3 linked regions of the Lonchura striata genome follow. The protein of the gene in region 3 binds, or shares a complex with, the protein of the main gene of each other region. Links are inferred from orthologs where the notes say so. Each region holds a gene or a part of one and is shown on either strand. Other genes may lie near its edges. The genes, in order: TENT5C, TENT5A and BCCIP.

Evidence for each region.
Region 1: the proteins of BCCIP (region 3) and TENT5C are in contact, whole or in part, in a cryo-EM structure (PDB 8EQB), measured with the Homo sapiens proteins. The link is inferred for Lonchura striata from reciprocal best matches to the Homo sapiens genes BCCIP and TENT5C. Residues at the interface, in NP_510868.1 of Homo sapiens: Val57, Asn58, Ile59, Glu60, Phe61, Glu62, Ala63, Tyr64, Ser65, Arg136, Gln146, Cys153, Lys155, Ala204, Gly205; in NP_060179.2 of Homo sapiens: Asp90, Asp92, Glu102, Gln106, Arg109, Lys135, Glu136, Val139, Gln140, Lys141, Leu142, Val143, Lys144, Val145, Cys146, Thr147, Asn164.
Region 2: the proteins of BCCIP (region 3) and TENT5A are in contact, whole or in part, in a crystal structure (PDB 8EXE), measured with the Homo sapiens proteins. The link is inferred for Lonchura striata from reciprocal best matches to the Homo sapiens genes BCCIP and TENT5A. Residues at the interface, in NP_510868.1 of Homo sapiens: Val57, Asn58, Ile59, Glu60, Phe61, Glu62, Ala63, Tyr64, Ser65, Leu66, Gln146, Val149, Leu150, Phe152, Cys153, Glu154, Lys155, Asn156, Cys157, Glu158, Lys159, Glu163, Lys167, Leu203, Ala204, Ala206, Thr225; in NP_060103.2 of Homo sapiens: Arg87, Gly88, Asp139, Glu151, Gln155, Lys158, Lys184, Glu185, Val188, Gln189, Lys190, Met191, Val192, Lys193, Val194, Cys195, Asn196, Asp199, Trp201, Asn213, Arg289, Lys295, Glu331, Arg334, Gln341, Asn342, His343.

What each region holds. Positions count from the first base shown.
Region 1 is NC_134604.1:28,335,022-28,341,226, reverse strand, and holds TENT5C (terminal nucleotidyltransferase 5C), read right to left. Parts: upstream 1,677-6,205; coding exon 501-1,676; downstream 1-500. UniProt on the Homo sapiens protein: Catalyzes the transfer of one adenosine molecule from an ATP to an mRNA poly(A) tail bearing a 3'-OH terminal group and enhances mRNA stability and gene expression.
Region 2 is NC_134605.1:80,878,742-80,886,087, reverse strand, and holds the start of TENT5A (terminal nucleotidyltransferase 5A), read right to left. Parts: upstream 3,079-7,346; 5' UTR 2,997-3,078; intron 2,665-2,996; exon of another isoform or gene 2,399-2,664; intron 2,192-2,398; 5' UTR 2,107-2,191; coding exon 1,684-2,106; intron 687-1,683; coding exon 1-686.
Region 3 is NC_134609.1:29,725,038-29,732,409, reverse strand, and holds the start of BCCIP (BRCA2 and CDKN1A-interacting protein), read right to left. Parts: upstream 3,104-7,372; 5' UTR 3,029-3,103; coding exon 2,876-3,028; intron 1,563-2,875; coding exon 1,488-1,562; intron 944-1,487; coding exon 863-943; intron 149-862; coding exon 56-148; intron 1-55. Other genes in the region: UROS (uroporphyrinogen-III synthase), read left to right, coding at 4,921-4,983, 5,730-5,813, 6,140-6,236. UniProt on the Homo sapiens protein: During interphase, required for microtubule organizing and anchoring activities. During mitosis, required for the organization and stabilization of the spindle pole.

The sequences.
Region 1 (6,205 bases), on a different chromosome or scaffold from region 3:
AAAGTGAAAGCAACCCAAGAATAACATGAGCCCAGTCTTGGCACAATTAGTTCAAGAGAAATTTGGCCAGAACTTGGACTGAGGAAGAATAATGAGGTTAGGAAATAGAAAGCAGTGTTTTGCTGCTACTCCAAGAGCAGTTTCTGCTTAAGGCATTTTACAGTCAATTAACCAACCCAGTTTACTGAATACTCCACTTAGATCCCATGTTAACAGCCACTTCCAGAGCTAGTACAAAGTTTCTTAACTGCTCCTCTTAACATTTGGCTGCTGGTTCTCTCCTCCCGATGAAGAGGTAATAAGGCTTTTTGGCATTTGTAGAGATACTCAAAGATTCATAGCAGGTCACCTGGCTGCATAATCCCACTGCACACCAGGAAATGGACAGTCTGATACAGTCAAGTTTCCATTAGAGAACATCCAACTGACACTTATTACTTGTCTATAATTACACTTGTGGCTTTCAGTAGCCTCCAGCCAGGAGCACTCGAGGGAAGCGATCAATTGCAAGGCAACCAAGTGGGGTAGGATTGGCTGTACAGCACAGGGGCACCAGCAAGGTAGTAGTTGCTGAAGTTTGCATCGCTGACATAAGGTGCTGGCTGGTAATAACAGGTCACATTAGTGACATTAGGGATGACATTCTGTTCTGCCAGCACCTTGAGTGCCAGCAGAGAAATCAAATTGAGAGTCTGCCTTCGCTCGTGCCCCATGAGGCAGACGGTGCTCTCATTCACCACCCTGCGCAGAATCATGAGGTAGTCGTACTTGCTCCTCTCCTCTTTGGAGAAGTGGTTCTGCAGGTAGGTCTCCAGCTTGCGCTGCTGATCCAGGATGTCTGGGAAGTCAATGAAGAATCGGGAGCACATGTAGCGCTCCAGCGTTTTGATCTCGCGCTTATCCATGGGCCGGAAGTCTCGTACTAAGAGGTTACTGTACTTCAGCAGCCCACCACCTCTGATCTCTTCAGGATTTTTGGTAGCTATCAGCTTGTTCTGGAGGTGATCAAAAGCTGCTTCAAAGTCTCCGTACATGCTCTCCCCAATCACAGTTGGGTGGAAGTGCTCCGACATGGGGGTTTCCGAGTAGTCATAGTAAAAGAGCAGGGAGTCCAGAATGATCTGGAACGAGTCTACACTAAACTCAAATTGCCGCCGTATGCAGTCTACAAACTTAAGCTCCACATTTTTGCCATGCTTGTTGGAAAGTGATATCAAGCTCCAGCGGTCAGTCTCTGTGTACACTTTGACCAGCTTCTGGATGTAGGCTTCCTTCAGTGTTACAGAACTGATCTTCAGCTTGCTTACTCCTTCCGGCAGGAAATTCAAGAGGGAACGCAAGACCACGTCTCGAACTAACTGAAACTCTGCCTCACTTGGAAGAGAAACTTGAAAAATGAGATCCAGGTCTTTGCATCCCAGCCCATTATCCTTGACCAGGACGTGACCAGCTGCAGACCCATTCAGACGGACATCGTGGACCACAATGCCTGCTTCGCTCAGCCGGCTCCGGACCGTCTGAACAATGTCCTTCAGAGTTATCTGCAGCGTCGGGAAGTTCCCCCGCCCGTGGATGGGAACCACCTCTGTAAGAACCTCGTGCAGGCGGCTGACCTGCTCCCAGTTCAAGACACTGCAGGACATGGAGTCTGCTCTGCTACTTCCTTTGCATGCCATCTTTGGGCTTTTCTTCTCCAAAGAAACTGTATGGAGGTAGAATATAAAAAGAAAAAGACAAGTCAGAGTTTCTTTTTGTGCTTCCTAGATCTACTCCTAGGCTCTGTTTTTCTGTTCACTCGCACAGACACAAACTAGACAGAAATAACTCTATGTATTAATGACTACCAGCAATCCTTTCTTCTGAAATGAGACACAGCTTTACTATTGGTGCAGGCAAAAAAAAAAAAAATGGGTTGCCTTTGGGTTTGTTTTTTTTTTTGGTGAGGTAGAGTTAGTTCAGGAAAGTAGTTTGTGCCAAATGGAAATTACCAAAGATGACACAAACTAAGGCTAAAGTCCTCAGCAGCACCAGCAGAAGTGAGATGAGCTGCAAAGCACTTCAGAGAGTTAAGCTCTGAAGTTGTTTCATGATGCATATAAAGCTCAAACTGCTGTTTCCAACTAACACAACTGCAGAACACCCTCAGGTGTTAGTTTCAGAGCTTAGACATCCAGTCCACTGATAACTCTTAAATTATGTCAAAGATACAAGATTTCTTCCTTTACATAGAACACTTTCCTTTCTAAATGATCCAGCATCTATCACTCACAGGATAAAGGCCAAGTACAAGTTGCTCCTGCAAAAAGCTGCAGCTCTTGAACATCCTGGACAGAATTTCAGCTGCAAACTCGGGTAACAGCATTCAATAGGCACTCCAGTCTTTGAAGAAGGGTAAAGAGCTGCTTACAGAGACACTGCCTAACCAACTACCTTTCTGGAAATGTTCATACTTGTCCCAAGGTCTGCTCATTTATGAAGGGCAAACAAGCCTGTAAGATTTGCGATAAATTCAGATGAGGCATAAGAAGTTCATGTTTCTCTTTTAACATCTAGAATCTCACTAACCAGACTTGGTCACAGCCTTGTCTAAACACTTTAAGCACAAGAGAATGATCTGATTAGCTGTGACAAGATTCCTTAAGTCACTTGCCTATTGTAGCATGGAGATACTTACAGATGTTCTACAGTCATGCAACTCAAACTGGTGTTAAAACCCTTTTCTTTTTTTAAGTGTTCCAGGTTTCTGCGTAGCCAGGTGCTTCCTGACAGCTACAGACTAATTGAGGCTTCACCTTCTTCTGCCCCAAATACTCCTGAAGACTGCAGCTGCCAAGGTCAGACTAGTCAAACTTAAGAAAATTAACTCTTGCCTACCAAGAAGGAAAAACCAAGCCCTATAGTTTCCTGGCATGCAATAGCACAGTGCATGGAACATATTAAAGCAAGTTTCAAAGAACAACTATTGTCATCTCAGACATCCCCTTTTTTCAGCTTTTCATTTTTGAGCAACTCATTCGACCTGCCACCTCTTTGGATGAAGAGAGTCAAATCCCAGAGCAAGTAAACAGTGAGGTTAGAATCCCTCTAGGGAAGAAGCTTCTGTCCTCAAGCAGGAGCTGCTGCATTACAAACTGTTCTGCCATGGATCACATCAGCACCAGCAGGTATGAAACAAACCTCTGATTTGCAAGATGATTAATCTAGGACAAATCAAGTGGTTCTTTGAGCTTCATCTTTAATACTCCAACACAGCATAAACACAAACACATCAAACCTGCCAGCAGTTGCTCTCAGGCAACTGAGAGCACATTAAAGTATGTTTCCTTAGTGAACTCACTATATTTCTATTAAATCTCTCAGATCACTAAAGAACATAAGAGTCTTCCCACAACTTCTAACTGAAGCTGCAAATGCTTTCAGCTACTGCCTCTAAAACTATTCCCTCTCCTTCTTCAGATTTGTAGTCCTCTCTGCAGCCAAGAAACACACGCATCTCACCCAGTGACCAGAAAGGACCTGGACCAGCGCTTTCAACCACACCATACACACCTGGCTCTGTTTGGTGACCCTCACCTAGGAGGGTAATGCACATTGCTGCCCTTGGCGGGCAGAAGACAAAGTACTTCGTTTCCAGTTCAGTGGAGGATTTAAGTCTCAGGCTATCAACCTCCAAAACCTCCCACCCTCAAATCACTAGTGTTTGCCTACTCGGCAAGGTTTATGTTAGTGACAACAGATTCCTAGCGACTCCAGTGATTTTGGGATGCTAACAGCTCCCATGCCTCCTGCTTCACTGCCAGCCACTCCCTCCACAAGATCGGACACCTGAAGATACTCAGTCCTTAGGAAGAAAACCACTACGGAGGCAGGAAACACTAAATATCTTTAATACCGAGCATAAAGAGCATTGAATACATCACTCAAACCAGAAGCAAAAAAAGAGCGAGGACTACACACCTTCACCTTGGTCACGACGGGGTGCGTTACCCTGCAGCAGCAACTTTCTCCTATAAGACATATAATTTAACACAACACCCAAAAATTCCCCGGGCCTGTCCCGCGGAGCCCAGCGGCGCTGGGGACGGGAGCTGCGGCTCCCTCCGCCTCCAACACCCGCATCCACGACAGGAGCGCTGCCGAGCTCCTGCTCCCGGGAGAGCCCGCCCCGCAGAGGGGAGAGGAGCCCCGGCCCCGCCGCTCACCTCGGCCCCGCCGCTCGCCCCGAGCAAGCACGCCGGCCCCGCCGCTGCCCGCGACCGCCCTTTATGGCCCTGCAGGGCCGCCCCGCCCCGCCCGGCCCGGCCCGCCCGCCCCGCCCGGCCGGCGGGGGCGGCTCTGGCCGCGGTCCGGCCGCCGGCGCCGCGCCCGGGGAGCGCCGCGGCGCCCGGGCCGGGAGCGGCCGGGGGCGGCCGCCCGAGCGCTGGAGCCCCGCGAGCTCCGCGCACAGCGCCCAGCTGCCCAGCCCCACGTCAGTGCATACTTGTGTATAAAGTCTGTAGATAAATACAAACTTTTCAAAGGGCCCCTCCCTTCAGGAAGGACACTGCGGGGCTGGAGAGCCTCCAAAGAGCAACGTTGTTGGTGAAGGATCTGAGCACAAGTCCCACGATGAAAGGCTGAATGAGCTGGGGTTGTTCAGTCTGGAGAAAAGGACGGTCAGGGGAGACCTTATTGCTCTCTACAACTGCCTGAAAGGAGGATGTAGATGGGTGGTGATCAGTCCCTTCTTCCAAGCAACAGTGACAGATGACACAGTCCTAAGCTGTGGCAGGTTCAGGTTGGACATTAGGAAGAAATTTTTCACTGAAATGGAGATTAGACATTGGAATGGATTGCCCAGGGAGATGATGGAGTCACCATTTCTGGAGTTGTTTAAAGGAAGACTGGATATGAGACTCAGTTCCATTATCTAGTCAACATGGTAGTGTTTGGTCATAGGTTGGACTTGATGACTTCAGAGGCCTTTTCCAACCTAATTGGTTCTGTGAATCTGTGGGCTGACTGAAATACAACAGGGCTTTCCTGAAGGCACCTTATCCCAGACAGAAGAGCTGTTAGCAGAGATCCCAGACGTCCAACTCTGCCAAAGAGTTCTCTGTGGTGCCTAACTGGAAACAGCCAAACCAGGCACTCATCCAGAACCTGCAAGGATGGGCTCACAAGGATGTTGGAGCAGTGCTGAAACAGTGTGCTACCGGAAACTGCGGCTGATGGGCTGTGGGAGGCTCTGCGCACATAGACAAGGATGATGGAATGGCTGGACAGGAATCAATTTGGAGATGCAGTGTCATAAAAATCAGCTGGTGGTTAATAGCACAGGGTGCGAGATCATTCTGGGGGCAAAAGTTACAATTTCTGCTGAGAACATAATGTTTCATCCAATACAGGGGTATCTGCCTTTTGTTACGATAATCAGATCTCAATAGAAACGGGGCGGGGGGAATCAACACAACTTAGAACAGGCCAGAACATAATCCTAGCAGAAGTAAAAAAAGTACTTACAAAACAACGGAAAAAAAAAATCACCACTACATCTGTTATACTGTTTGGCCATACACAGTCAAGAAAGATGAATTAAAACCTGCACATATATGGAGAGGAGCTGGCCTTGAATGAGGAAATGGGAAAGCTCCTTTTTGCCTAGCAAATACAACAGACCTGCCTCGTTTCACCAAAAAAGCCAAAGCTGAACAGGAATAGGGATGGGTTAGATAATTATTTATTTTGCTCCAATATTGCCCACTGGGATAAATAACAGGAAACAAAATTACCTATTTAAATTAAATTACCTATTTAATTAATAATTACCTATTTAAATTAAAGGATAACTGGCACAAGAATCAGATTTGAGGCAAGTTACCATCTTGTTGTCCAATGAGATAAATCGTGAGATTTCAGAGCCTTGCAGGAGGGAAGGGAATAAAACTAGGTTAAAGATGCAGCTAGAAAAGAAAATAAGTATATGATTGCCTGTGCTGGTATGGAGCTGATCATGAGGATCCAGAGGTCTCTCAACACTTTTCCCCTATGTTTCTAAAATTAGAAAGAGAAGTAGGGAACTCAAAGAGAAGTGGTAGCACAAACGAAAGAAGCACAACCACTTGTAAGGAAATGTCTCACTTGGAGATTAAAACAGTGAATGATCTCACCTCTTAAGCATATTTCTTCAGCAAGATTTCTACCTCAAATACTGCCTTTTGACAAT
Region 2 (7,346 bases), on a different chromosome or scaffold from region 3:
GCTACGTATGGGGCTGGCTGGTAATAGCAGGTGACATTGGCCACGTTGGGGATGATATTTTGCTCGGCTAGGACCCGGATGGCCAGCATGGTGATCAGATTCAGAGTCTGTCTCCTCTCATGTCCCATCAGGCACACTGTGCTCTCATTCACCACACCGTGAAGGGTCATGAGATAGTCATACTTGCGGTCTTCTAATCCCACAAAGTGGTTCTGCAAGTAGGACTCCAGCTTTCTCTGCTGTTCGCCAATGTCTGAGAAGTCAATGAAAAACCTCGAACACATGTATCTCTGCAGGGATTTAATCTCAGATTCAGAGGCTGCCCTAAAGCCCCTTACCAAAAGGTTGCAGTACTTCAGAAGACCACCTCCTCTGATTTCTTCTGGGTTTCTGGTGGCAATTATCTTGTTGCAGAGGTGATCAAAGGCTTCCTGGAAATCCCCATAAACGCTCTCACCAATGATAGTTGGGTGAAAAGTTTCAGTCATCGGATTCTCTGAGCACTCATAAAAAAGCAGCAGGGAGTCCAGCTTGATTTGAAAGGAATCGACACTGAATTCAAACTGCCGCCTCAGAGAGTCCACAAATTTCAGCTCCACATTTTTGCCACTGTTGTTGGACAGGGAGATAAGACTCCATCGGTCTGAATCATTGCATACTTTTACCATTTTCTGCACATAAGCCTCCTATAATGAGAAAGACAAAATGAGCAAATCAAGACAAAGATCCAAGAAATTTCTCCTTTACTTCATTTGCTAACCCCTTCCAAGCCCCCCCCGCCCCATATCTGCATTTCATAAAAGATTTCATGGAGTCTGCAGATACAAACCACAGAGTAAGTGTTTAATGTGAGAGCTCAAAATGCTGTAACTGCAAGGGTATAACAGGGGAGGGTGTTCTGCAGGGACTGTGACGTGCAAGGGAAGCATACAGCAACACTACTTTGTTCAGTAGCTTCTAAATACATCTACAGACTAAGTCCATGGTACATCTGCCAAATATGCCTGCACCCATATGCAGAAGGTCACTACTACGATCTAAAAAGAAATCTTATTTATTGGTTTTCACTTCTCTCTCTACTTCCCAAAGAACAAGTTAACAAATGTTCATTCCCCTCAATCCTACCAGTGCAGGTTCCATAAATCGGTCCCACATTAAAAAAATTAATCCCTCTAAAAATCTGAAAATATCTGGATTCAGCCTAATGAACTCAAGCAAAGTGTCTTCTAGAGGAGGGAATATGCCTCCCCGCTGGGGCACTTAGCACAGCTGGAAGCATGCCTTGCAGACGGGGTTTCCTTCTTGCAGATGTTAAATCCATCTACGCTCCCCGTGCACCCGGGATCCGGGACCGGCATACCGAGCTGCTGCCGAACCGGACTGGGAGAGGCGTGCAGCGCCTGGCACACGCCCCAGGTAAAACAACGCTCCCAGCAAATCAACCGGGAGGGAGAAAAAGCTAATTAATCCTGAAGAGCCCCGGTCAGGGCGCTTCACTGTAAGCTCCTCCTCGGTTTTAAGCGTGGGGTGAATAAATCGCTCGGGGTTCCCATGGGTCGCGGAGGTGTGGGGGGGAGCTGCGTCCCGGAGCGCACCACTCCATCCCAGGGGAAGGCGCCCGCTCCCCGCGGGCAGGCACTCACACCTGCCCGCTCCGGGCGGCTGGGCAGAGGGCAGGTTTACCTTGAGTGTGAGAGGCGTGATCTTCTCCTTATTCACCCCCTCGGGTAAGAAATCCAAGAGGCAATCCAAGACCACGTCCTTCACAGTCTGAAATTCGGCTTCTCCTTTGAGGTCGGCGCAGAAGATGAGGTCCAAGTCCTTGTAGCCCAGGCCGCTGTCCTGGTGGAGGACGTGGCTGGCTGCCGAGCCGTTCAGCCGCACGTCCCGCAGGCCGATGCCCTTCTCTTCCAGCCGGCTCCGCACCACCTTGACGATCTGGCGAGGCTGCATGGCCAGCGTGGGGAAGTTACCGCGGCCGTGGATGGGGATGGTTTCGCTGAGGATGCGGTCCAGACGCTGCACTTGCTCCCAGCTCAGCACGTTGCAGTGCGCGCTCTCGCCGCCGTCCGCGGAACTCCCGCCGGCCTTCTCATCGTCTGCCATGGTGAGCGGCCGCCGCCTCCGCGGGCTGGATCCAGGCACCGCTCCGGCTCCCCGCCGGCCCCCCGGGGCCTCTCTCTCTCCGCGCCTGGCAAAAGAGGAAAAGCCAGCGGTCAGCAGCTGCGCGCACCCGGCGCCCGAGCTCCGTTCCCCTGTGGCCGTCCCTTTCAGTGGGGAAGCAGGAGGACACACCTACTGATTAGATTTTAAAAAATAGATAAATACAATGGGGGGTGTGGGGAGAAAAAGCCCCCCGGAGCCAGGCGGTGCTGCAGGATAAGGGAAGGTGCCCGACCTGCAGCGCCGCTGCTTGCACCGCTCTCCGCGCTCCCGCCGGGGCAGAGGCCGCCCCGCGCCCACGGAGAGGCCGCCCCGCACCGCCCAAGAGGCCGCCCCGCTCGCTGCCGCCGCAGGCTGCCGCCGTCTCCGGAGCTTTCGTAGTTCTGGCCGGGAAAGGTCCCCAGTAGTTTTTATACGGGGCTTCTCCTCGCTTCCGGGGCTCCGAGTCACGGCGCCCGCGTCCCGCCCCCTCCATCTGCATGGCCGGCCTCGGCGGTGCCCCCGGCCCGCCCACACCCCGCGCGCCCGCGGGCCGCCCTCCCGCCCGCCCCTCCGCGCCGGCGGAGCGCCCGGCGCGGCCGCCCCGGGCTGGGAGACCCGCGCGGCGCGGCGCGGCCGCCCGCACGGCTCCGGGGAGGCAACAAGTGCAGCGGCGCTCCCTGCCCCGAACGGGGCGCGGCCCCTCCCGCTCCTGCTGTGCCTAGATGCGCGCCCAGGGGCGCCCTTCATTCCGCGCAGCCATTCATTCCCCGTCTTTTTTTAACTCTGCCTTTTTACCCCCCGCCCGCCCCCCCGACATTCCCGGTCATCCCAGGCTCAGCCAAACTTCATACCAGAGCGACGGAATTTGGCAAGAGCCCCTCTCCAAGCAGATGCCGAGGATCCCGGGCCGTGTGGTTCTCGCTGCTCGGCTCCTGACCGAGATTTCCAGAGCCGCCGGCGGCAGCGCAGCGGCATCACGCCGTGCCTGCCCGGCCCCGGCCCGGCCCCTTCCCCCTTGTCCGCCCGTCCTCCCCGCCGGCGAGGGGAGAAAAAAGACATCTCGAACATCACGGAGGAGCCGGTGCCTTCCAGAGGAGCATCCTGCCTATAGAGTACAACTTGAGTAACCGCGGAGCCGTAAAAATGATATGGAAAACAAGCATATTATATAAACATGCCCATATATTTTATTTGCATTTTTTTTAAAATAACGATGAATGCATCTGCTTTTCACCTGTTACGTACATACGCATACATATAGTTATTATTTTAAACACATATCGATATTTATATATATCGATACTATTTGAAAACAGATCCTATTTAAAACATACACAAACATACTGTTTAGAACAGACTAAGCGCACACACCCGATGCACGCTGCAGCACCCGGGGCCGTCACCGCCCCAGTGCGCACCCCGCGCACGCCAGCGCGGTGTAGACAGCGGGTTGCGCGGAAGGATGCAGTGCTGGGGGACACGGGGGGGGGGGGGGGGGGCATGGACGGTGTTGCGTCACCGCCCGCAGCTTTGTGACGCGCAGCAGGAGGGGCTAATGGGGGTGCGCGACTTCGTGACGCGCAGCTCCCTCAACCGAGCACTTCGCTGAAAATGAGGGGTGGGCGACACAGCCCGACGGGGTTTACTGTCCCCTCACCCCATTTTTAGCACGCACCCCCATCTTCTCCCGCCCCGGGATGAGGTCAGAGGTGTGGGGCTGCTTGGGAAGCCCCCAGCCCGGCTCCCCCCATCCCACCCCACACGCCGGGCGGGGGTCCCGCCGCGCTGCGCCCGCCCCGTCGGGGCGCTCCCGGCGGCGCAGCGCGGGGCAAGCGCGCCCCCTGCCGGCTGCCGCGGGGCGGGGCGGCGCGGGCTTTGATCCACCGCCCACATTCCCGACGGCTCCGGCAGCGCGAGCCGGCTCCTCACGGCGGAGCGGGGCTGACTCCACCCTGTGCCCGTCATGCGGCACCGCTGCCCCCTCCCCGTGCCGCTCAGGTGGCCATAAAAGCGTTTGCATTGCTCGGTGCCATTGTGTTACAGGAAGAAAAAAAAAAAAAAAAAAGAAAGTGGAAAGCTTTTAAAATACGAACGTGTACAAGGGCTTAACAGCAGAAGCAGAACGTTGTACGTCTGCCAGCATATTGAGCAGGGTTTGCCAGCTTATACCTTTATATAAAATAAATATTCAGACTAAGCGGCCTGCTGGCAGGGGAGCCTGTTGAGGGAACCCGGGTCCCTGGCTACTGCCGCTGGGCACAGGGAGCCCCACTCTCCCCTGGTGCAGGAACAGCATCTCCTCACACTGACCATGCATCCCGAGAGGACACGGACAGGCACTGCAGGGCGGTGACAGCCGAGGGCAGGGGCTCACATCAAGGGGTCCCACCACGGGGATTGCCTGCCTGCAGCACAGAGGTGTCACCGCCTCCCTGTGCAGTTAGGAAGCTTGGAGAGGTTAAAATATAACCCCGTTCCCAGACTGGCATTACTCAGGTGAACCACAGTTCACTAGAGCACATGATTTAATCTTTCAAAAGGGGTAACTACCACCTTATTTATAAGCAAATTATCATTAATAACTGGATTACTGATTTCTAGAGCAAGGACAAAGATCGGACTTGGAGGCTCATCCAATATTAAGCAAGGCCAGCTCCAAGAAACTGAGACAATTTCCTGTCTGGGAGTAACCAGCATTTCATTTAACTTGTGTTTCTCAGCATGTTGCAATGACATTTTAACAGTATTTTGAATACTGGTCAGTAGGATTCAATGTTATTTTATGTGGATCTTGTTTCATTTCCCCATGAAGTGTGACTTTTGACCTCTTTAAAGTAGCTATCACTTGCCCACTTGAAAAATGGACAAAAGTTCATAGTGGAGAACACTGATTTATTAAAGGCAAGGTCAATGCATTTCAGAAGGAAGACCTTTACACTGCTGGGTTTTGCTAAAGGAAAAGGGCTAGCCAAGCCCTGTCCTCACCTCAACCTCCCTTTCTCGGTGTAAGCACCTGCAAATCACCTCCCACTCACCTGAAAGAAGAGAGGAAATAATTTCCAGTTAGAATCATTTATGTTTTTTCAGTTCAGAAATGTGCAAAGAATGGTAATCATTACACTCTTTGTAAAGATTAGGAATTATTTGCACTGATGTGCAATTCATTTTGCTTCTCTTCCCCTAATTAATGGACACCAGATAAAGGGTATTTTATATATATATATATATATATATATATATATATATATATATATATATATATTTTTTTTTTTTTTTTTTAATAAACTGTGTAAACAGAAGAGAAATAGAACTCCATCAGTGCAGTACTTTACCTCGGGTATATATATTTTGAATTTTTTGCTCCTCTGCCTACTTGAATGTGAAAGCCTATGTCACTTTAAATCAGTAGAAATCATTAAGAACGGTAGCAAGAAATTGAATTAGAGTGAATTACATCATGAGAAATTGAGAAATATTTGTCTGAGTTATAGCAATTATTCTAATTATGACTGATACTGGTAATGCTGGTGCTAATAAAAACATTTATTCAGCTCATGAACATACTCTGTACTTTAATGACAAACTTACTTTTGGAAGGAAAAGGTGGGGGTTTTTAAATTGTCAATGTGAGCAGTAATTCTTTGACAGAATTTTGATTGTATTACTCACTCAGGTTGTTTGTGCTGCCCAAGGAATTAGCAGAAACGCAGGCTGTGTGATGTGAATCATGTCTTTCTGTATGTTCGCACAATATTTTTCAATTAGTCCCTTCATTCTCAACCATACTCTCAGTCCTGCTCTAGAACAAATTAAAATTAATAGCAATAAATGTGTTTCTCGTGTATGCATTTGTGTATATTTGCCTAATAAAGTCCTCAGAGTGAGCTCTTCATTCAGCTTGGCCATGTAGCAGAGTGTACTCTCCAGGTGAGCTCTGCTGAATTTAGGAATTTAAGTAATTTATTGACTGAACTACATCAACTGTGACTGTAATGTTCTGCCTCCCTTCTGCCCAAGACTTGGTGCCTAAAACAGGAACATGCTCTTTCTGGCAGAAAAAAAAAAAAAAAAAGAGCCAGAAAGTGTGAGTCTTCGTCTATGCCTAGTCTATGAATTGGCTCCCATTTGGTGCCCAGCAGGGGCAAAACTTCCAGTTTAGTTTTTTCATACGGGAGCTGAGTTTGTGTGACTGCTGCTCTGCCAACATGTGTTACTTACAGACAGTCAGGGGATTCACTTCTGAGCAGAAACACTACTTCAGTTCAAAAACTAGTGTTGATTCAGACAGAGCTTGTTTGTTTTTTATTCAAAAAATGAAAAACATCACTTCTGCTATCATTATTATGCATTAAAAGCAGCAGCCTGGATTGGTTTGACATGAAAAAAGTCTAGGAAATCCAAAAAACAGCCTCAGAAGGAGTTCAGAAAAAAAAGATACAACACAATTTTATCACAATTGTGTCATGAAAAGTTTGGTAATGTCATTCTTCCTTTCTTTTATTTTTTCTAATCCTTCTATTAAGAGCAGTTATTCATATTGGAGAGACAAACAGCAGATACCATCATGATGATTTTCCCTATGTCCTTTTGACAGTGTTAAAAATGCAAATAGATGTTCAGAATAATAAAAAAGCAGCAGTCTGTAGCAAGACGGACATGGAGAGCAGCAGTTTCCAGGTGTGTGAATGTGCAGTGTGTCAAGTGTGGATGAACAGGCTGTGCAAGGGGAGCCCTGGGGCCCCTCGCAGCCCTGGCTGCAGTGGGAATGCTGGCAGCTGCACAGGGATACAGCAGCGCTGCAGCTTCCCACCCAGGCCTGGCACAGCAGCTCTTTCTGTCTCTGCTCACAAGTGCCTCAGCACAGCTGGCTTGCCCTATCTCCTACAGAGGCCAACGGCAACTAAAACACTACAAATGAGATCTTGACCTAAATTTTGCCCTCTCTTGAGATGGAGAGACATTGCTGGGCAGAAATCACCGGAAAAGTTCTTTATGTTATTCATTGTGTTGCTACACAATTATCTCACTGGAAACAGCAGCTATAGGACTGAAGAATATTAATAGTTGTTCTCCACCCAGATAGCACGTGAATGTATCAACTCAGCTCCAGATACCAAATTTCTGGAGAATGCAGGCTGCTGTACCCTTTTCCCTCCCTCCTCATCACTCCATGTGCAGCTGCTGGCAGGTGCCCTGAGCAG
Region 3 (7,372 bases):
CTCATTTATTACTGATGCTAATATTTATAACCAGATTTTACTGAGGAATACCAACCTTCCTTTCTGTTAAGTTCAAGCAGCTTATAAAACCAAACACTTCATCCTCATCATCTTCATCATCAGAACTGTCTTCCTGCACTTCTGCTTGCTGTTGAATGAAAGGAAAAGCAACAACTCATACTGACATTCTATTTCCACTCTGTAGCAAAAGATGTTTTTCTTTCCAGGTGATACCAGCAGATGAAAACCATTGAGGAAATCTGTACAAACACACACTGCAATTTCTGCTGCATCACTGAACATCTCAGTGTGCTCAAAGCCAGCTTTGGAGAGGGCCAGCTCATGCATCTTCTACAGCAGAGTCCTCTGGAAGGCACTAAAGGTTGATAGCTCACATTTAATAAGCAACATCTTGGCTCAGGGGATGGCAATATCTTAAAAAAAACCAATTTGCTTCAGTTTCTAATGTAGGGAAGTAAGCCTGGAATGTCTTGACAACCACAGAGCAACAAAGCTTTGGCAGGGAGGGAGACAAAGAGCTGTGTCTTTGTAGGAAAGTCACAAGCTCCTGTTTCTTATGGAGATGGCAACAAACCCCTCCTTTGCATTTTCAGCATTACTACACTGAAATTCAGGGAGGGAAAAGCTTTCCATATGTAAAAAGAAACCAGCAATTACAATATATCAAATTCATTCTTTGCCTGAAAGTAAGCATGGAAAATCTCTGTTCCCATAGAAAAATTATTCTTAAAGCAGAAAAATCAAGAAAGCACACAACACAGACAGGATCCCCTTCTGAAATACAGAAATCATGTAATTTCAACAAATTGTACTTCAGTTACAAATATAGTATTTGTCTTACCTTGATAATACTCCCAATATGGTTCTGTTGTATTAATATATCAGTTAATTCAGCAGTGTTAACGGGAGCTTTTAGAAACAACTGGGAGACAGAAAACAAGTATTAAAGTATTTGAAACAAGTATAAAAAACACGTATTTAACAACTATTAAACAAGTCTATCAGGCACTGAGGGTATCTCACGGACCACTTAGCAGAAAATAAAGTGAGATTTTTATTTATCTTCCTTCATGATAATACTGCAAAAACTAACAATCAGCTGCTGGAGGTGCTTGCTCCTGTACCTTCCACATGCTGATATTTCCATACTGGTACCCTCTGGAGTTTGGCATGATCTGAAAACTGCGGCTATTCCATCTCTGGAAGTGTTCAAGGGCAGGCTGGATGGAGCTTGGAGCAATCTGGGATAGTGGAAAGTGTCCCTGGCCATGGCAGGGGATGGCACTGGATGGGCTTTAAGGTCCCTTCTCTCCCAAACTATTCTGGGATTAGCTAATAAAAGGAAGGAAAGTAATATATAAAAGCTGTAAATCAATACAGAGAATGTGAACTGATGCCTTTGCACAACTCCTTAGATATCATTTATCAATGGACATATCAACCAAGCTGACAAGTAGGTACAGTACCTGCTGCAGTAACTTCTTTATCCCATTATAGTCATTGTCTGATATGGAATGCGCTTCAAATTCAATATTCACTTCCTGTGGATAAAACAGAGAATAGCACACACACCTGTCAAGAAGCTATATCAGAACAAAGCTAAACTGTCAGGAACTTGAAGACAAGTAATGGCAAACAGCAGAAACAGAATTTATTTCCACCTTGCAGCAATCTCAGCAATTGTTATAATTTCTCCTGTGACCTTTAGAGAACATCTGTGAAAGCAACTTTTCAAAACTGACCCATCAATTGTGTCATGAACAAACCTTAAATGCCTTCACCTGCCATCTGGTTCACACAATTACAGCTGTTGTAGCCACAAACCCATCCCTAACATCCCCTGGACAGTAATCCCTTCCCAAACCCATCCTGAACGTCCCCTGACAATCCCTTCCTGAACATCCCCTGACAACAATCCCTTCCCAAATATCCCCTGCCAGTCCCTTCCCAAATCCCTCCCGAGCATCCCCTGACAACAATCCCTTCCCAAACCCATCCCGAACATCCCCTGGACAATAATCCCTTCCCAAGATCATCCCGAACATCCCCTGACAGTCCCTTCCTGAACATCCCCTGACAACAATCCCTTCCCGAACATTCCCTGATAATCCCATCCCAATCACTTCCCAAACCCATCCCGAGCATCCCCTGCCAGTCCCTTCCTGAACATCCCCTGCCAGAACCTTCCCAATACCCTTCCCGAACATCCCCTGACAACAATCCCTTCCCAAGCCCTTCCCGAACATCCCTGGACAATAATCCCTTCCCAAATCCATCCCGAACACCCCCTGACAGTCCCTTCCTGAACATCCCCTGCCAGAACCTTCCCAATACCCTTCCCGAACATCCCTGGACAACAATCCCTTCCCAATCCCTTTCCAAACACCCCCTGACAATCATCCCTTCCTGAACATCCCTGGACAATAATCCCTTCCCAAACCCATCCCGAACATCCCCTGGCACTCCCTTCCTGAACATCCCCTGATAATCCCATCCCAATCCCTTCCCAAACCCTTCCCGAACATCCCTGGACAACAATCCCTTCCCAATCCCTTCCCGAACATCCCCTGACAACAATCCCTTCCCGAACATCCCCTGAAATCATCCCTTTCCTAACATCCCTGGACAATAATCCCTTCCCAAACCCACCCCGAATATCCCCTGGCACTCCCTTCCTGAACATGCCCTGATAATCCCATCCCAATCCCTTCCCGAACCCATCCCGAACACGCCCTGACAGTCCCTTCCCGAACATCCCTGGACAACGATCCCTTCCCAAACCCATCCCGAACGCCCCCGACAGTCCCTCCCCGAGCCGCGGTCGGTCCCGCCGTGCGGAGCCCGTCCCGCTCACCTCAGCCGGGGGCTCCTCCGAGTCGGAGCCCGCCGAGCGCTCGGAGCCGCTCCGGGAGCTCTCGGAGCCGCTCTCGGAGCCGCTCTCGGAGCCGCTCTGGGAGCTCTGCTCCCCGGCGGGGCCCCGCGCCCGGCGCTTGGCCGGCGTGGCCATGGCGCGGTGCGGCCGCGGGATGTCCCCGATGTCGCCGAATGTCGCGGCAGGGGCAGCGCGGGCGAGCGCGGAGGGGCCGAGGGCAGGCCCGGGGCCGAGGGGAGGCGCGGGGCTGCGGGGAGCCGAGGGGAGCCGCGGGGCTGAGGGGAGCCGAGGGCAGGCCCGGGGCTGAGGGGAGCCGCGGGGCCGCGGGGCTGAGGGGAGGCGCGGGACGGAGGGCAGGCCCGGGGCTGAGGGGAGCCGAGGGCAGGCCCGGGGCTGAGGGGAGCCGCGGGGCTGAGGGGAGGCGCGTCCCGCACCGCCCCGGCCGCGCTGACCCGGATTTCCTCCTTGGCCGCGCTGTCACTTCCTCCCAACGGGAATTCCTGCATGGAAGCGGCTCCCGGCGGTGCGGTCGGGCTGCCCGGGGCGCTTTGCGGTCCCCATCCCTGCGGGAAAGCCTGGACGTGGCGCTCGGCGGGGATCGGGCCCCGATGGTCCTCCAGGGCTTTTCCAGCCTCGGGCATCCTGGGATTCTGTGCTCTAAAGGGAACAGAGTGTGCTGAGCATCCCCGACATTAGCAAAAATTGCTGTAAGTAAAAACTGGCGTTAGTAAAAATTGCCAATTAAAACAGGAATCAGGCTGCTACGCCCTAAAAATTGTGACCCGGCTTCCCCTGGACCAAATTCCTGGTAATTCCAGAGGGGAGGGTGATGGGGAGAGCACCGTAAGCACAACGTGATCCTGGTTTTTATAAAAACGCCAGTCGGGAAAAAGCGTTGAAATGTCCTAAGCACTGGAAAAATCCTCATTAGTGATCAAGCCTCTGTTATATGGAACGTGTTCCATTTAACGCTTTGTGTCTAATTAATGAAGAATGAGATGTTAATGAGGCCATGGAAGGAAGAGCATTGGGCACTCACTGTTGCCAGCCAGAAGAAATGCAAGCCCGGAACCTTGGGATATAATTCCAGCTTTACAAATATGCTTCAAGTAGGCTCAGATTTTCATGTTCCCTTTAAAGCATCAAACACATCAGTGGGGGTTTTTTGGGGGGGAGTTTTTTGTGATTTTTTTTTTTTTCTGTTTTTTGCTTTTTCTTTTGTTTTTCAAAGCTGTGCTTGCTCTGAGAGCAATTAGGTCATTGCCAAAATTTGAATACTGTTAGCCAGGGAAAGAATTTAGAGGAAAATGAATTTTCCTATGTGTGTGACCTGTCAGGAAAATACCACACTGGTAATTGGGGTAAATATGCACTTAGAGAGTGGATTTCTGTTTGTATTATTTGTGTATTTGTTTCTGTTGTATAACTTTGAGTTTAGCATCAAAGCTTGTAGGGAACTGAGAAGTATCATCTTCCATTTTTATGGCAGAATAGATGTTTTCAGTCCCACCTTGTTTCCTAGACTATCAGAGAATGCATATTAATATTATCTATATTATTATAGATGTATAAACGCGTGCATATAGACACACATATATTAAATAAAATCAATACCTTTGCATAACAACAAACTAGTGCAATCTGGCATGGAAATTAATAGAATAACTAATATTTTTGTAGATAGGAGCTGATTCAATTGCAGAATGTGGTTGCATTGTAGGGCCTGTTACTGCTTTTAAAAAATATTCTTTAAAATGTGTTCCCCTTGATGAGTTTCATTAGGGCCTCTTCCTTGAGCAGTGTTATCTAAAGGCAGCATATTATTTTCTGCCCTTATCAGGCTGGGTGTTCCTGCCTGGAGAATGCACAATAACTGCTTACTCACTGTGTAAGGAGCAGTACAAGTCGTAGCAACCCAGTTCTTGGAGCTGTTCAAGTTGCTATTCCAGTCAAAAAGTCCTCTAGATCTAATTAAGATAAATTCCATTCTTGTATTTCAGGGTTCTGCTGTGCTTCCTTGGTGAACAATGAAGGTTCTGCTGCTGAAGGATCCCAAAGACAAAGATTCAGGACCAGATCCATATATTAAAGTGAGTAAATGTAAAGAAAACTAAAAAAATGTGTCACTTCCTTCTTATTAAATGTGAATCCAACTGTTTCAAGGGGCTTAATCAAAATTAGGAGTGCATATCTGAAGTTATACTGAGAGAAAAAGTATCTTAAAAAATAACCCTTCCTGCATAAAAATTGTATTAATTATGGGACATTTGTACTGAATTCATTGTAAAGCTTTCAGCAAAGTACTGGTATTAAACCAGCTTCATTTGAATTCATTAATATTGATTGTGTTCATATGGACAGAATGAGGATTACAGAAATTTGTTGTATTTTTACTGGGAGTGTGATGTGAAATAGAGGTTACCTGTTGCTGGGGTCCCTTCTGCTACTGCCCTTGCTCATGTGAGTAAATCTCACTCATAAGAGTAAGAATTCCTAATAAAGGAGGATTATTTCTTTAGTAGAAACCTATTGGCAGAATTACAGAAGTGTACAGGGGTATTTGCAGGACTGGGTGGACACCTGGGGATTTCAGAGTTATGTGCTGGTGTCTCCTGTACTTCAGAAGGTCACAGTCCCACAGCTGTTTGTTTAGTAAAATATTGGAATATTAAATAATAAACAAATCCAAACTAGATTTACCAAAGAAAGGAAATAAAATACCTTTTTATTTTGCTTTAGCAAAGAGAAAAGCTTGTGCTGACTTAGTCAGCTCTTTGAAAAAACAAAAATGCTGTTTGGAGTTTTATTTCAAGAGCTGCAAACCTTTTCTTGATAGGAATTGGGATCATACAGCTTGGAAGCAACATTGATCCCAGTTTTGTCATTTGACTTCACCTCTCTTGACAGCTTATTTGAGAAGGTAAGTTTGAAATTTTTTTAGTTGTCTTATTTCCAGCAGGATTTGGTTGCCAAGATCCCATTGAATCATTCTCTTTTTGTGTTGCCACAAACCAGCTTTGTACAGTAAAATTTCATGTACAGCATCAAGGACCTTGCCCTTGCTTGTTAAAGAATTAAATTGTTCAGACAGAATTCACATTTAAGTTGTGAGTTGTCACAAGTGTTGGGGCATTTCAGGCAGCTGTTCTGTTTGTCACAAGGTTATAAATAATAGATCAACTGATTTTTAAAATTAATTTGTATTTTTTTTTCTTTTTACTTCTTAAATTTACTGTTTCTAAATAGCTTTCCCATCCAGAGTGCTATGGAGGCCTAGTTTTTACCAGCCCAAGAGCATTAGAAGCCATCAAGATATGTTTAAAAGAGAAGAGTAAAAAAGAAGGTGAGTACATATTGATACTCCTTGGTCTTTTTCTTCCAGCATCTTGTGAAGTTTGGATTTTAATGAATTTTATTTCACCCACCAGTATATATTTGGAGCATGATTTTTGTAAAAAAACTGAATTTCATAGCTTTTTTGGCATCACAAGGGGCTCATGCTACATTGAGCTTTTAAGGGTTGTGTTTTCTAGACTTAAAAATGAAGGGAAGGAGCTTTTGGTGCAAATTACTAATTAGTGAGAGCTTTGCCAGCTCTGCTTCTCTCATGCAGAAGGAATATTCTCCTGCAGTGCCTGGTTTGCTTGCTGACTCCTTTCCTCCCTTAAAGAGATCATCTCATAAAAGCTGGCCATCACTTCTGTGCCTGTGCAATTCCTATGAAACGTTGCAGAAAAAGAGAGTTCTCTGTCTTGAACAATAAATTTCTCAAGTAAATTAATTATTAGCTAAAAAATTATAAAGAAGTGGTGATGCATCAAAGCCAAGAGATGAGGAGTGAGGAAGAATCCTGCTAAATAGAAATACCCATCACAAGGAAATGTCAAATCCTTGTAAACTCTTCCAAATTCTCATGTTGGGTGATTCTGGCATGGAGTTTCTACTTTATCTGCTCCATTTTTGGGCTGTGGACAAATCAGTGTCCTGTGAGTAAGGTTACACCCTTGAGCAAGCAGTAAATGCACTGAGACCCTCAGCTGATTGTAGCATTTGCAGCAGCAGAGGGCAATCTGTGAAGATTTTAGGTCAAAAGTAATCTCTAAATTCCATCCCTAATCTTGATTAGGACTTTTGGAAAATAAGTATTTTAATAATAAAAATGAGTCTGTAGTTCCTGTTTGAGTTCCTCTCAAAAGCAATAAATCCTTCTTTTTACATCTGATTTTATTTTTGCTGTTGTAGTTTGTCCTTTTTTTTTTTTTTCACCCTCAGTAGTCCCAGAAGAAAACTCAATGTCCTGTGCTGTTCTGGTTAAAACAAGACAGTAAAAAATTTGGTGTATCTATTTTTTATCCTTTAGGATTTGTACATCCAGATTTGCTGAATGTGTTGTGGAGTTTTAGTTATTATTATCATTTTGCTGTATTTGTGGATTAAACAGAAGTCCAAATAGTCATTTAGCATTCACATTTTGTTGCC